3 linked regions of the Mus musculus genome follow. The protein of the gene in region 1 interacts with the protein of each later gene in a pairwise test. Links are inferred from orthologs where the notes say so. Each region holds a gene or a part of one and is shown on either strand. Other genes may lie near its edges.

What was found.
Region 2: the proteins of Moap1 (region 1) and Thoc1 interact in binary tests that used the Homo sapiens proteins (3 or more experiments, as listed by UniProt). The two-hybrid records come from large-scale screens. The link is inferred for Mus musculus from reciprocal best matches to the Homo sapiens genes MOAP1 and THOC1.
Region 3: the proteins of Moap1 (region 1) and Lats1 interact in a two-hybrid assay, tested with the Homo sapiens proteins (2 studies listed by BioGRID and IntAct). The two-hybrid records come from large-scale screens. The link is inferred for Mus musculus from reciprocal best matches to the Homo sapiens genes MOAP1 and LATS1.

Annotation. Positions count from the first base shown.
Region 1 is NC_000078.6:102,740,801-102,745,015, forward strand, and holds the start of Moap1 (modulator of apoptosis 1), read right to left. Parts: upstream 2,862-4,215; 5' UTR 2,743-2,861; exon of another isoform or gene 2,699-2,742; intron 2,595-2,698; coding exon of another isoform or gene 2,572-2,594; 5' UTR 2,489-2,571; coding exon 1,430-2,488; 3' UTR 1-1,429. Other genes in the region: Gm20604 (AK010878-Moap1 protein), read right to left, coding at 2,572-2,594; Tmem251 (transmembrane protein 251), read left to right, coding at 3,287-3,366, 3,800-4,211.
Region 2 is NC_000084.6:9,956,744-9,961,039, reverse strand, and holds the start of Thoc1 (THO complex subunit 1), read right to left. Parts: upstream 2,861-4,296; 5' UTR 2,848-2,860; coding exon 2,794-2,847; intron 2,730-2,793; exon of another isoform or gene 2,619-2,729; intron 1,943-2,618; coding exon 1,869-1,942; intron 1,786-1,868; coding exon 1,725-1,785; intron 555-1,724; coding exon 488-554; intron 1-487. UniProt on the Homo sapiens protein: Component of the THO subcomplex of the TREX complex which is thought to couple mRNA transcription, processing and nuclear export, and which specifically associates with spliced mRNA and not with unspliced pre-mRNA.
Region 3 is NC_000076.6:7,708,678-7,712,311, forward strand, and holds part of Lats1 (serine/threonine-protein kinase LATS1), read left to right. Parts: intron 1-1,787; coding exon 1,788-1,970; intron 1,971-2,171; coding exon 2,172-2,278; intron 2,279-3,634. UniProt on the Homo sapiens protein: Negative regulator of YAP1 in the Hippo signaling pathway that plays a pivotal role in organ size control and tumor suppression by restricting proliferation and promoting apoptosis.

The sequences.
Region 1 (4,215 bases):
CTGTCGAGTTTACCCCCTCAGCTTAGGGTCTCACATACAGAAGAGGCGTGGCATTTATTAATGCTTGTGTGTCTATACAAAATGTAAAGTTTCTCACCGAGGCAGCAAATGAGTGACCTGCAGGACAGTGCATAATGTATCTTAAGCCACTATACAAACATGAGCAGAATCACAGCTCTCAAGAGTCCACATGCCATTCTGCAGTGGAGAACATAAGGAAACTTTCCATGTATTCCTAACTCAGAGTAATCTATCACACTCCCAAGACTACATGTACACACGGTGACAGTCTGGCCTTGATTCTTTGTGTAGTTCCCTCCCTTAGTAGAGAGAACAGCAGCTTTGCAAGAACCAGAACAGCTCTCATTACTGCCTGCTTCGTCTTGGGCATACATCCATTTCCCAGGTGATCTTAGTTTCCCTGTATGTAGTTTTCTCTTTGGAGGTAGGGCCTCCCTCTGTAGTTCTGGCTGGCCTTGAGAGGCCAGTCTTCCTGACTTTGGCTTTACTTGTTAAGCACTGGGGTTATAGGTGTGTAGCACCAGGGTTGGAAAAACACAAACCTTCATCTTCCCTTTCTCCCTCAAAATTCAATATTGATGGGCCTACTACTCGCCACAATCTGTTTATAGTCTGGTTCCTGTCAAACAAGCAAGTTCCTATCCCCTAGGTGCCAAGAGTTCAAAGAACTAAGTCTGTAATTTCAGTGGCTTTCAGATTCACACTATAAAAACTTTTGTTCAGCCTAGTGTAGTTGTGCAGGCCTTTAATTCCAGCACTCAGGAGGCACATTTCTGAGTTTGAGACTACCCTGGGTCTATAGAGTGGGTTCCAGCACAGCTAAAGCTGCACAGAGAAACTGTCTTAAAAACAAAGCCAAAAAATTATTTTCCTTCAAATGTAGTATTACAATGTATACAAAGATCAAATATTTTATTATCATTTCTTTATTACTCCAAGAAAATGATATTTAGAAGCAGACGTTTTGGCAACATATCAGATAGTCACAAACCTAAAACTAGTTGTAGAACTGACCACAGCATTCAGTTGTGCTTTTTGATTGCACAGAATCGATAACTGATTTTAATAAAAGAAACTAAATATCTTAACCAGCCTTGGCTCAGGGTCTTCAGCATAAATGTGGGCAACACCTGAAAACTATTGATAACTGATAGCACCATCACATATGACTATTAAACATGCATATAAACTTTTGACTTGCTGGGACACTGTACTAGCAGAATGGTCTTTTGATTTAAATAATTATCAGTGTAGAATGACATCATTTTTATCAGTAAAACATTGGGGAGACATTCAGTAAACAACACGACAAAGGGCGAGTTACTTTGGCAGCATAAAGAGTGGATGGGCTGATCTCTGCAATGAGCTCTTCCATCTTGTTCTGCTCATGACAGCCTTGGGTCTTGGGTCAAGTGCAATAGCCTTCTAATTCGGCCTGAAGGAGGACCTCTTCTTCTTCGGCCTCCTTATCTTTTATCAGTGTCAGCAACTGCAGTAAGCCTGGGGCTGGGCTACCCTCCGGCAGCCCAAGCTCTCTTCGAACTGATTTGTGGACTGCCCCAGCAATGACTTGGTCTAGACGGGCCTGATTCACAACTTCTTTCTCAATTGCTCCTTTCTGAACCAGTTTCTGCAATAAAGGCTCCAACCTTAGAACATAGGCAGACAGCTTTTCATCAGTCTTCTGATAAGTAGTAAGGTATTTGACCTGCAATGCTCTAGGATTATCAATAATCCCAAATATTGTCTCAAGCGTCTTCAGGCATTCTGCAACTGTAATGAAGGGGTTGTTTATCTTGAGGACTCGAATAATTTCAAATGCTGGACCTCTAAGGCTCTCTATCAACCGCCTTCTTTTCTCTACATCTGACACCTGCCATGTTTTCATTACTTGGGAAGTATGAAACATCCAAGATTCAAATTCTTCCTCACCTGGTCCTGGAGGATCCCTGCCTGAGAACACACTCAGCTTTTTGTACCTCAGATACTGCAGGGTAGGCTTAAGGGCCTCATTTAATGCCTGTGCTAACATGGGTGCTCGAATTTCAGGGATCATTATGCCCGGGTCTAGGCCGAGAGGGTCATTCCGATTCCCAAGAACTCTGGTTAATTCACCCATCGTCATGCCCTCCCCCTTTAAAAACTCATTTAATCTGCACAAAAAGTCACTATCAGTATCAGGAGGCTTAAAGATCACTCTCCAGACACCTCCTTTTGCAGGTATTTCCTTGGGGACCAGGGCACTGCCAGTCTCTACTGTAAGCCCAATCAGGGCTACATTCTTGTTCTCATCCCTCCTGAACATCCTCCCAAGCAGTCTGTGTTCCCCTAAGGGAGCAAGGCCAGCCTGCAGGGCCTCCTCTATGTCTGCCACTCCGCAGGTCGGAGGGATGCCGGCAACCAATAGTGCTTTCCGAGGATTCATATCCATCCCTCTGCACCAGTCTTCTAGAAGTCTCAGTGTCATGGTGCTCAGAGTATTTAAATTCTAATTCGACCAGGGCGCCGCCGCCGCCGCCGCCGCTTACAGTGATGTGCGTGCTCGTCTCTTTAACACGCAGAGGTCCGGGAGCCTGAGAAAACAGAGCATCCACGTTAAGTTAACCGTGTCTGACTCCCGAGCAGTTCCTCCGCCCACCCGCCACAGGCGCTTAGAAACGAACGCCATCAGGATCACCTGCCCGTAGATACATCGCTTGGGTCCCGGAGAGGACGTCTGACCTTTGCGGGGTTTAGGAGAGACCCGGGCTCCCCGCGCCCGCCTCCCGGCCGAGGGCAGAAGAACGACCGCAGCAAACGCCTCAGGGAACAGACAACCGCCTCTGGAGGCGGCGCGAAGCTGACAGCCTGACGTCATGAGAGGCCGGCGCGCGTTTCCGGCCCTAGACGGAAGCTCTGAATGCGGCGGTATCCGGGACTGCGAGCGGGCGGGCCACTCAGGACAGGAAGGTGAGACCCGGGGCTGCTCGGCTTGGCTGTCAGGCTGGCCCGGCGTCCGGCCGGGAGCCGAGCTCGGGCCTCTGCAGGCCAAGCCTGGCGCCACTGCCCAGCTCAGCTCGGCGGCGGGTGCAGTGGGGGGCGGGCCCGGCATCTCCAGGTGGTTCCCCCCGCCTGGGGCTCCGGAGGGCGACGGGGCCCGCCGCCGCCGCGTGACCAGCCGTAGTCACGCTGAGCTTAATCACTACTAGCTCGTGCTCCCGCCGCCGCGCTCACCTTCTTCAGCTGCGCGACCCAGAGGGTTTCTCTTAAGGTGGCTTGTTCTGAAATGCCAAAGGCACCTGACTGTTCAGAACTGAGTGACTCTTGCTCGCTTGCAGGGGGAACAGGAAGATTTTCGGGACCACTGTAAGTGTTTGAAAGAGTTACCGTCTTAACTTGGGGACTCCGACGTTGGTTTAACGAGTAGAACTCAACCCAGTGCCCACGTCTGAAATAGTGTTAAGCCAGAAAGCATTTCAACTGTCAAGAGCAACGTCCTGTGGGGAAACTAGATGTTTCATTATCTGAAACGAAGGTGTACTGGGTCTACTCAAGCAAGAAGTGATGATTCATTCACTCTGGGGTTCACATAAATAACAGCACTCAGTAGACACTGAAACCAGTATTTTTATGTGCTTACAACTGTTATATAAAACCACCTGTAAGCTGTTTACAGCTGTTAAATCTTAAAATGCTCGTGCTTTTCAGAACTCTTGAATTTAAATCATGTGCACTTGGAATAGTTGCCATGGCAACATTATTAGACCTTAACAATAATTTTTCTGTGTTTGCATTGAAGGCACAGAGCATGGAGAATGATGAACTTCCGTCAGCGGATGGGATGGATTGGAGTGGGACTGTATTTGCTAGCAAGTGCAGCAGCGTTTTATTATGTTTTTGAAATCAATGAGACTTACAACAGGTTGGCTTTGGAACACATTCTGCAGCACCCTGAGGAGCCTCGGGAAGGAACCACATGGACACACTCCTTGAAAGCTCGGTTACTTTCCCTGCCCTTTTGGTTGTGGACAATTATTTTCTTGATTCCGTACTTACAGATGTTTTTGTTCCTTTATTCTTGTACGAGAGCGGATCCCAAAACAGTGGGCTACTGTATTATCCCCATATGCTTGGCAGTTATCTGCAATCGTCATCAGGCATTTGTCAAGGCTTCTAATCAGATCAGCAGACTACAACTGATTGACACATAACACC
Region 2 (4,296 bases), on another chromosome or scaffold:
CTTACAAGTGTGGGATAATAGGTATTTGTCACAGATCCAAGCTCATCTTACTTTTTAAAATTCATCAACAAACTCTAACCATAGCGCTTACAGCACTCACACACTCACACACGTCTGCCCTGCATTACCCAGTAGACTCTTACACTGAACCTCCCAATCCTAACTTAGTACATGCATACAATAAATGCTCACTAAGTACTGATATATGATTAAAACACTTGAAAACAAACAAACTGTAATGTACATGACATAATCGTGATGAGCAGTAAGTAGGAACATCTTCTTGGCAAAGGAAGGAGTCAAACAATGAGCAGGGGCTGTGAGTGTGGGTCAGTGGTAGCACAGCATGCATGAGGCCCTATATTTGGTCTCTAGCAACACACATAAAAGATGAACAAAACCAGACAGAGGAAGAGGTATGTCGAGAGTCTTAAATAAAACAGGTCAGATCTAAAACAACTTTTAGGAGAAACAGAAAGATACTTACTTTCGGTCACTCCCCCAATAGCAAGAGAAATAATAGCTAAAACGTTCTCACATGCGGAATGATTTATCTACCAACAGAGAAACAAGTTTATTTAGAAGCAAGAATTTGCACTAATTTGTTAACAATAAAGACAAGTTCTATGAAATTAAGCAGTCATACAAACAGGAATGAAAATATCTTATACAAAGTTATTTTATAAGATGAAAAACCATGAACAGTAATATACACACTAAGTATATCAAGCAGTAAAGAGTGAGTCAATCAAAACCCAACTTGTGAAATGTTAACTTTTGCATGACTACGGTTATAAGATTATTGGGCACAGAAGTTCTAAGGTTGTGGGTGAAAGGCAACAGCAGGACAAAAGCAGGGCCTGGACTGAATCCATAGTAACACTGCAGACTTAGCAGAGGGCCTTCTGCAGGAAGGTAACAATAGGAAAAGTGACTTTCTTAGCACCTCATAACAGAGAAACGATTAAAGCTGAAAAAAAGATCAATTGGTCTGACCCAGAATTATCTGACAAAAAGAGGGGGGATACTATATTATGGTCATCAGAAGAGAATCTACCACCATGGGACCCAATTTCTGCTTAATCAAATATAAATGTTAAAAAATCTTTCATTCAGGATCCCTGCTAAAGGTAATATTTAGATTCTTCATGGTTAAATTTCTTCAGCAGGGTTAAACAAGCCTTAGTTATTTATGTATGCTTATAGCTGAGGAAAAATCCCACAAGAAAATGAGGACATGGAATCCTCGCTCTATGCTTAACATCTTTGGACTAGACCACTTTTACACAGTGTGTCATCATTTATATAACAAAGTGAGACTCTACTTTTAAAACTACATTTTAAAAACTGTATTTTGTGTACCTGTGTGTGTTCTTTATGGAGGTCAGAGGACAACTTGCAGGAGTCCTCTCCTTCCAACATCTAGGATCTAGAGACCAAAGTCAGGACATGGCGCTCTGTAGCAAGTGCCTTGACTTGCTGAGGCATCTCCCTGAGTCAGTCTTTACTTCTTGCTCTTTAAGACTGAATGTCAAACCATTTCTTATCATCAAAGCTTAAACTGTACCTGAGCCATCAAGAGCCTAATGCATTGTCTCAAAGGCAGAATGCTCATGCCCAGAAAACATGTCATGTTTAAATATCCATTCTAATAATAAAGCAATTTTTAACAACATGACTTATTAACCGGCCAGCATATTTTAACAAAGGGGGTAAATACTTACAATTTCTTCTTCCAGAACACCTCTGAAAGCTTGGTCAAGGGTACATTTTTTTTCATTTTCACTATTAAAAACATAAAATACCTTCATTTCACAAATAGTTCACAAACATCATGGAGTCCTCTTTTCATGGACAGTGTGCTTTACCTGCCAGGTAACTGACTGAAGGCAGTCAACAACGGCTTGATATTTTTGTTATTCAAGGCTTCTCTGGTAGATTTCTACAAAAATAAAAATGACAAATAAGTAGAAAGCTTTTGCTGTTTATAAAAATTTACCATTCATCAATTATAAGTCTTTCTAACTAAAAAAAAAAAAATGTTTTAAACTGGGAAATATTTTCTGCCAGTCATTTTTATTAACTTTTATTTCTAGTGATCGTAATCCTTATCCCATGAAAACCTGCCAAGAGCTAACTAGACATTTGCGCCACAGGTTTCCCTTTCCTATGTATCACACCAATCTATGTTTCCTGCTTTAAAAAAACCTTGCTAAGTTTGATGGGGCATCATGTAACCAGTGCTGGGGAAACATCAGTTTACGGTCAACCTGAATTCTCTGAGTTCCAGCCTAGCCTAGGCTGCATAACAAAACCCTGACTAAACAACAACAATCCAAAAGACAATACCACAAAGCAAAGCTTGAGAACTACTTATCTAAATGCTGTAATTCAGTAGTGGAGTTCTTTGCTTGGCACGTTCTACCCCCAGGACTGAGGACAAGGGGCAGAGGGAGAGGTTCCTTTCTTGGCGGGGTGGAAACTGACTTCAGGGCTCCTGCCTGAGAAACCCGTCCCGCCCAGCTAGCTAATGAGCTGAAGCTGACTGAGCTAGCCTGGGTGAGCTTTCCACGCTCGCCCGCAGGACGACGGTAACGACCAGGGGTCTCGGGACTTGCCCGCGGAGGGAGGGTCAGGACCCACAGACGCGTAGCCAGTGCGCCTTTCCCTTAATGTCAGTCCCGGAAGGGGCCAGGAACGGACCCGGCGGCGAAAATCCCTCAGTCCCTTCAGCGAGAGAAAGGGAAAGAATAGCGCCAGGTCAGAACCACGGCCTTCAGCCCCTCAGCTCACCGTAAATCGCGTCCGCGCCTCCGGCAAACTGAAAAGCGCCGGCGTCGGAGACATCTTGGTTGCGCGTGCCCACCACTGCACTGCGGCGCCCAGTGATGACGTCAGGTTGGGAGCAAAGAGACGGCAACGGCTAGAGTGGCCAGCGGTGAAGATCTCCGGTGCGGTGTGGCTCAGCCATGTGGCGCGTAGGCCGGGCTCTGGGACTCCACTAGCAGTGGAGCGGCCTAGGGTGTTTCGTGTTGTCAGCTCCGCCCTGGGCACGGCAAGGCTGGTTTTCCTAGAGGGTGAATGACGGCTTGGTGCCGCTTCAAGGGCGGTGCCGGAAGGTAGCGCTCGCGAGAAGCCGCAGAAGTGGCTTGCTTTGAAGTAGTAGCGACACTGCGGCGTCACTTAACGCCCCCTCCCCACCCCCAAGTCTGAGTGCCAGAGAGGTGACAGATTTCGGGTTTGTCTGACAGCCCGGTGGCCCTTGGATCCTGAAGTTTCTCAGAGCTGTTATGAAGAATGAAGTGTCCAGTTGGGCGTGGTGGCGCACGTCTTTAATTCCAGCACTTGGGAGGCAGAGGCAGGCGGATTTCTGAGTTCGAGGCCAGCCTGGTCTACAGAGTGAGTTCCAGGATAGCCAGGGCTACACAGAGAAACCCTGTCCAAAAAAAAAAAAAAAAAAAAAAAAAGAAAAGAATGAAGTGGCCGGATAGTTATTTTATTGTTACTATTATTTTGAAACAGGGTCTCCCTATGTATCGCTGGCCAACGTGGAACGCTCTAGGTAGGCCAGGCTGGTCTTGAACTCAGAGATTCACCTGACTGGCTCCCAATTGCTGGGATTACAGGGTTGGGCCACCATGTCTGGCGTACTTACTACTATACTCATATCTTTACCCGGAACTATACTGTACTGAAGACCTATGAGGAATACAGGCCATTGCTGCTTGGAAAATGGGTGGCACTGCATCTAGGTTGTAGGCATACCTTGCAAACTGGTGATCATTATTACCTCATGTGCCTCTCTTTTCTCTAGAGAAGTTTGACTAATGAGAAGCTGAATGACAGTAATCTAATTATAGTTAACCTACAGAATAATAAGTACTTACATAAAGGCAAGAGAATTTTCACAGCCAGTAAGAATGCAGGAAAAATTAGCTGCAGGATCTTGCCACTAAAGGAAATTGTGAATAATGATGACTACCAGGATGATTGCAATCTTTTTTGTTTTAGCCAAGAGATAACTGAAGTTTGGTTATAGAAAGGCAAAATTGGGAAAATTATTAACTTGGAAATACACTTTATTGATCCCTGATTATCATTTTACCATAGGTAATTGATAGCTATCTACAAGACCTAAGCTCTCAAATACAAAAGTCTGAACAGAAGAGACGGAGTTTCTTGACTTATCCATAAAAATGTGGTTAGAGTTCCATTTGTTTATTCAATAAACATTTCTTAGACCCTTTGTATAAAGCATTGGTTGAATAAATTAGTTCCCAGCACCTACACTGGGCA
Region 3 (3,634 bases), on another chromosome or scaffold:
CTTGATGGTTATCTTAATTTTTACAGTTATGTTTATATATTTATCTGTCTATGGGCACAGTGTGTATATGCCATAATGTTTGGAGGTCAGAGGACAACTTGTGGTAGTTGGTTCTTCCTATCTACCATGAAGGTTCCAGAGATCCAGTTCAGGTCATCAGGCTTGGTGACAAGCCCCTTGACCAGCTGAGACATGTCGACAGACCTTTTTTTTTTTTTTCCCCACCCTATTTTTGAGACAGGGTACTGTACCTGGAACTAATGAGTTTTGATAGGCTAGCTGGACGGGAGTTCCAGGGGTCCACCCTGTCTCTGCCTTCCCTGGGGCGGGCTTATGGCACTGGTTTTTACAGGGGTGTTAGGGGTCCTTAGGCGTCTGCAGCTATCACTTTACTGACTGAGACTCTGCTTTTCTTTTTTTTTTTTTCATTTCCCATTTAAGCAACAACCATCACCACCACAACAAAACAGAGCAAAAACAAAAACAAACCCAAAAACCACCGACCTTTATTGTGTGTGTGTGTGTGTGTGTGTGTGTGTGTGTGTGTGTGTGTGTGTGTGGACATCAGAGGACAATTGCCACAGTTGCTTCTTCACCTAAGGATTAAACTCGAGTCCTGAGGGACTAGCTGTCTTGCTGGTCTTCTTGGGTTTTTTGTTTGTTTGTTTGTTTGTTTGTTTTCGAGACAGGGTTTCTACGTATAGCCCTGGCTGTCCTGGAACTTACTGTGTAGACCAGGCTGGCCTTGAACTCAGAAATCTGCCTTCCTCTGCCTCCCAAGTGCTGGGATTAAAGGCATGAGCCCGGTTGTCCTCTTGTTTTTGAGATAAGTTCTCTCTCTATAAAGCTCTGACTTCCTGGAACTCAATATGTAGATGAGGCTGGCCTTGAAATCACAGATGCCTCCTAAGTGCTGGGATTAAAATCATGCTACATAGCAAGGTTGAGGCCAGTCTGGGTTATAATGAGACATGGTCTCAAAAAAAAAAAAAAAAAGTTAGAGCTCAAGACATGGCTCAGCAGCTGAGAGTACACACTCCTCTTGCTGGGGACCTGAGTGTTTAGTTCCCAGCACCCATGTAGTTAGAGCACACCTGCCTGTATCTCCAGTTCCAAGCAGACCTGACCCTGCTACTTCTCCGGGCACTGTACACACTCATGTGCATATACCCGTATGTATACACATAATGAAGGCATCTTCAAAAAGAAAAAGAAATGAATAGGAGCCAGCAAAACTGTGCTAGGATCACAGGTGCATTCTACCACGCCCCATCATTGCAGCTCTGGGCATGGAAGCCTAGCAAGGCAAGCACCGAGCAAGCTGAGACCCACCCCCACCCTCATCATCAACTGTTTCTTACTTGTATGTTGGATTGTTGTGCTTCTCCCTGCCAGAATGTGAGCTGAGGGGAGAATCTTTCTGTTTATTGTCACTTGCTGAATGAGTAAAACTGATGAAATGTGTTTTAAAATCCCACTGGGGTAAAAGTAATAAAATTAGTGTGAATGAGATACTTTTAGCCACGACTCATGACTTATATTGTTATCATTTAACATTGAATACATTATCGAGTCCTCAGTTTCTCTTAGTTCAAAACTTTTCCTGTTGCTACCTCAGCAGTCTCCCATTAGTAATATTACCACTGCCTCCAGTGATTTGATGTCCCTCATGCACTTAGCCATCCCAGGGAAGTATTACTGACCCAGCATCGTGACCAGGGCTTATCAGGCTTGGGGTGGCTTTGGTCCTGTAGCTTTCACTTCAGCTTCTCCTTTTTCTTGCACAGGGGATCACCCACGGCAAGATAGCATGGATTTCAGTAACGAATGGGGAGATCCTTCCAATTGTCGGTGTGGGGACAGACTGAAGCCACTGGAGCGGAGAGCTGCTCGCCAGCACCAGCGATGTCTAGCCCATTCTCTGGTTGGGACTCCCAATTATATTGCACCTGAAGTGCTACTGCGAACAGGTAAAGCACTTATTTTTTTCACCAGTATTTCAGTAGTATTTTAAAGCAGCCAACCTTACTTTAGAATATACCCTATTTCTTTCAGGTTTAAGATAAAAGTGCTTATTTTACATTATAAAGTGTTAACATAATGCTAATGTCTGTATTCTGAGCATTTTAAATGCATTCTTGTGAATAATGGTATAATTTTGGTACCTTTAGGATATACACAGCTGTGTGACTGGTGGAGTGTTGGTGTTATTCTTTTTGAAATGTTGGTGGGACAACCTCCTTTCTTGGCACAAACCCCATTAGAAACACAAATGAAGGTAAGGTGTAGCCTGCATGAAAAGTCATCAGCCCTTCAACCGTGAATCTTCAAGTGTGCTCTCGTACTCATGTGTCTTTCCTGAAACACTTGAGACAGAAGTATTCCATTCACATTCTTTCAGATATTGTTTTGTTTTGAGACAGGGTCTCAAGTGTGTTGCTCTGAGTAATCTGGAATTTACCATATAGACCAGTTGGCTTCAAACTTGTAGAACTCTGCCTCTGCCTCCAGATTTTTAAATGCTTGCATATTCACACTAAGATTTTAAACATGACATCATTGTATATGTTAGCCAGCCTGATGGTAATTTTACATTGTAGTTTTAGTGTACCTTTATTTCTTTATGGTTGGTTTGGTTTTTTGGAGCAGTAAGATTCAAGCCATGGATATGCTAGACCTTTGCTCTAACATTGAGTTGTACCCCAGCTCCTGTGAATTCTTTGTGAATGTAATCAACATAGCTCAGGTATAGAGCTCTCTACTTATGATATCATACCAACATTAAGAATTTTTATGTTTTTTAAAATGATTTATTTTACTTATATACTACACTGTAAGCTAGCTGTCTTCAGACACACCAGAAGAGGGCATCAGATCCCATTACAGATATGGTTGCTGAGAATTGAACTCAGAACCTCTGAGCTCTCAGTGCTCCTAACTGCTGAGCCATCTCTCCAGCCCCCGAATTTTTATGTTTTAAAGTATTTCAGATTTTGAAGTTTTTGGATTGGGAATGTTCAACCTGTTTAAGCCTAGCATAGCTTTACACACCTTAAATTCCAGGACTTGTTAGACAGAGGAAGATCTCTGTGAGTACCAGGATAGCCTGGTTTACTTAGCAAGTTGCACAACAGCCAAGGCTACTAGATCCTGCCTGTCTCAAAAATCAACAAATGGGGATGGAGAAATGGCTCAGCAGTTAACAGCACTGACTGCTCTTCTGAAGGTCCTGAGTCCAGCAACCACATGGTGGCTCACAACCATCCATAATGAGATCTGATGACCTCTTCTGGAGTGTCTGAAGACAGCTACAGTGTACTTACATATAATAATAAATAAGTCTTTGGGCTGGAGTGAGCAGAGGTCCTGAGTTCAAGTCCCAGCAACCACATGATGGCTCACAACCATCTCTCCAGGTACAGTGTACTCATACATAAAATAAATAAATATTTTTAAAAAAATCAAACAAATGGCTGGGCAGCAGTGGCATAGGCTCTCAGGAAGCAGAGGCAGAGGCAGGCGGATCTCTGAGTTAGCAGACAGCCTGGTCTACAGAGCTAATCCCAGACAGCCAGGGCTACACAGAGAAACCCTGTCTCAAAACACAAAACAACAAATATCAAACCAAAGCAAA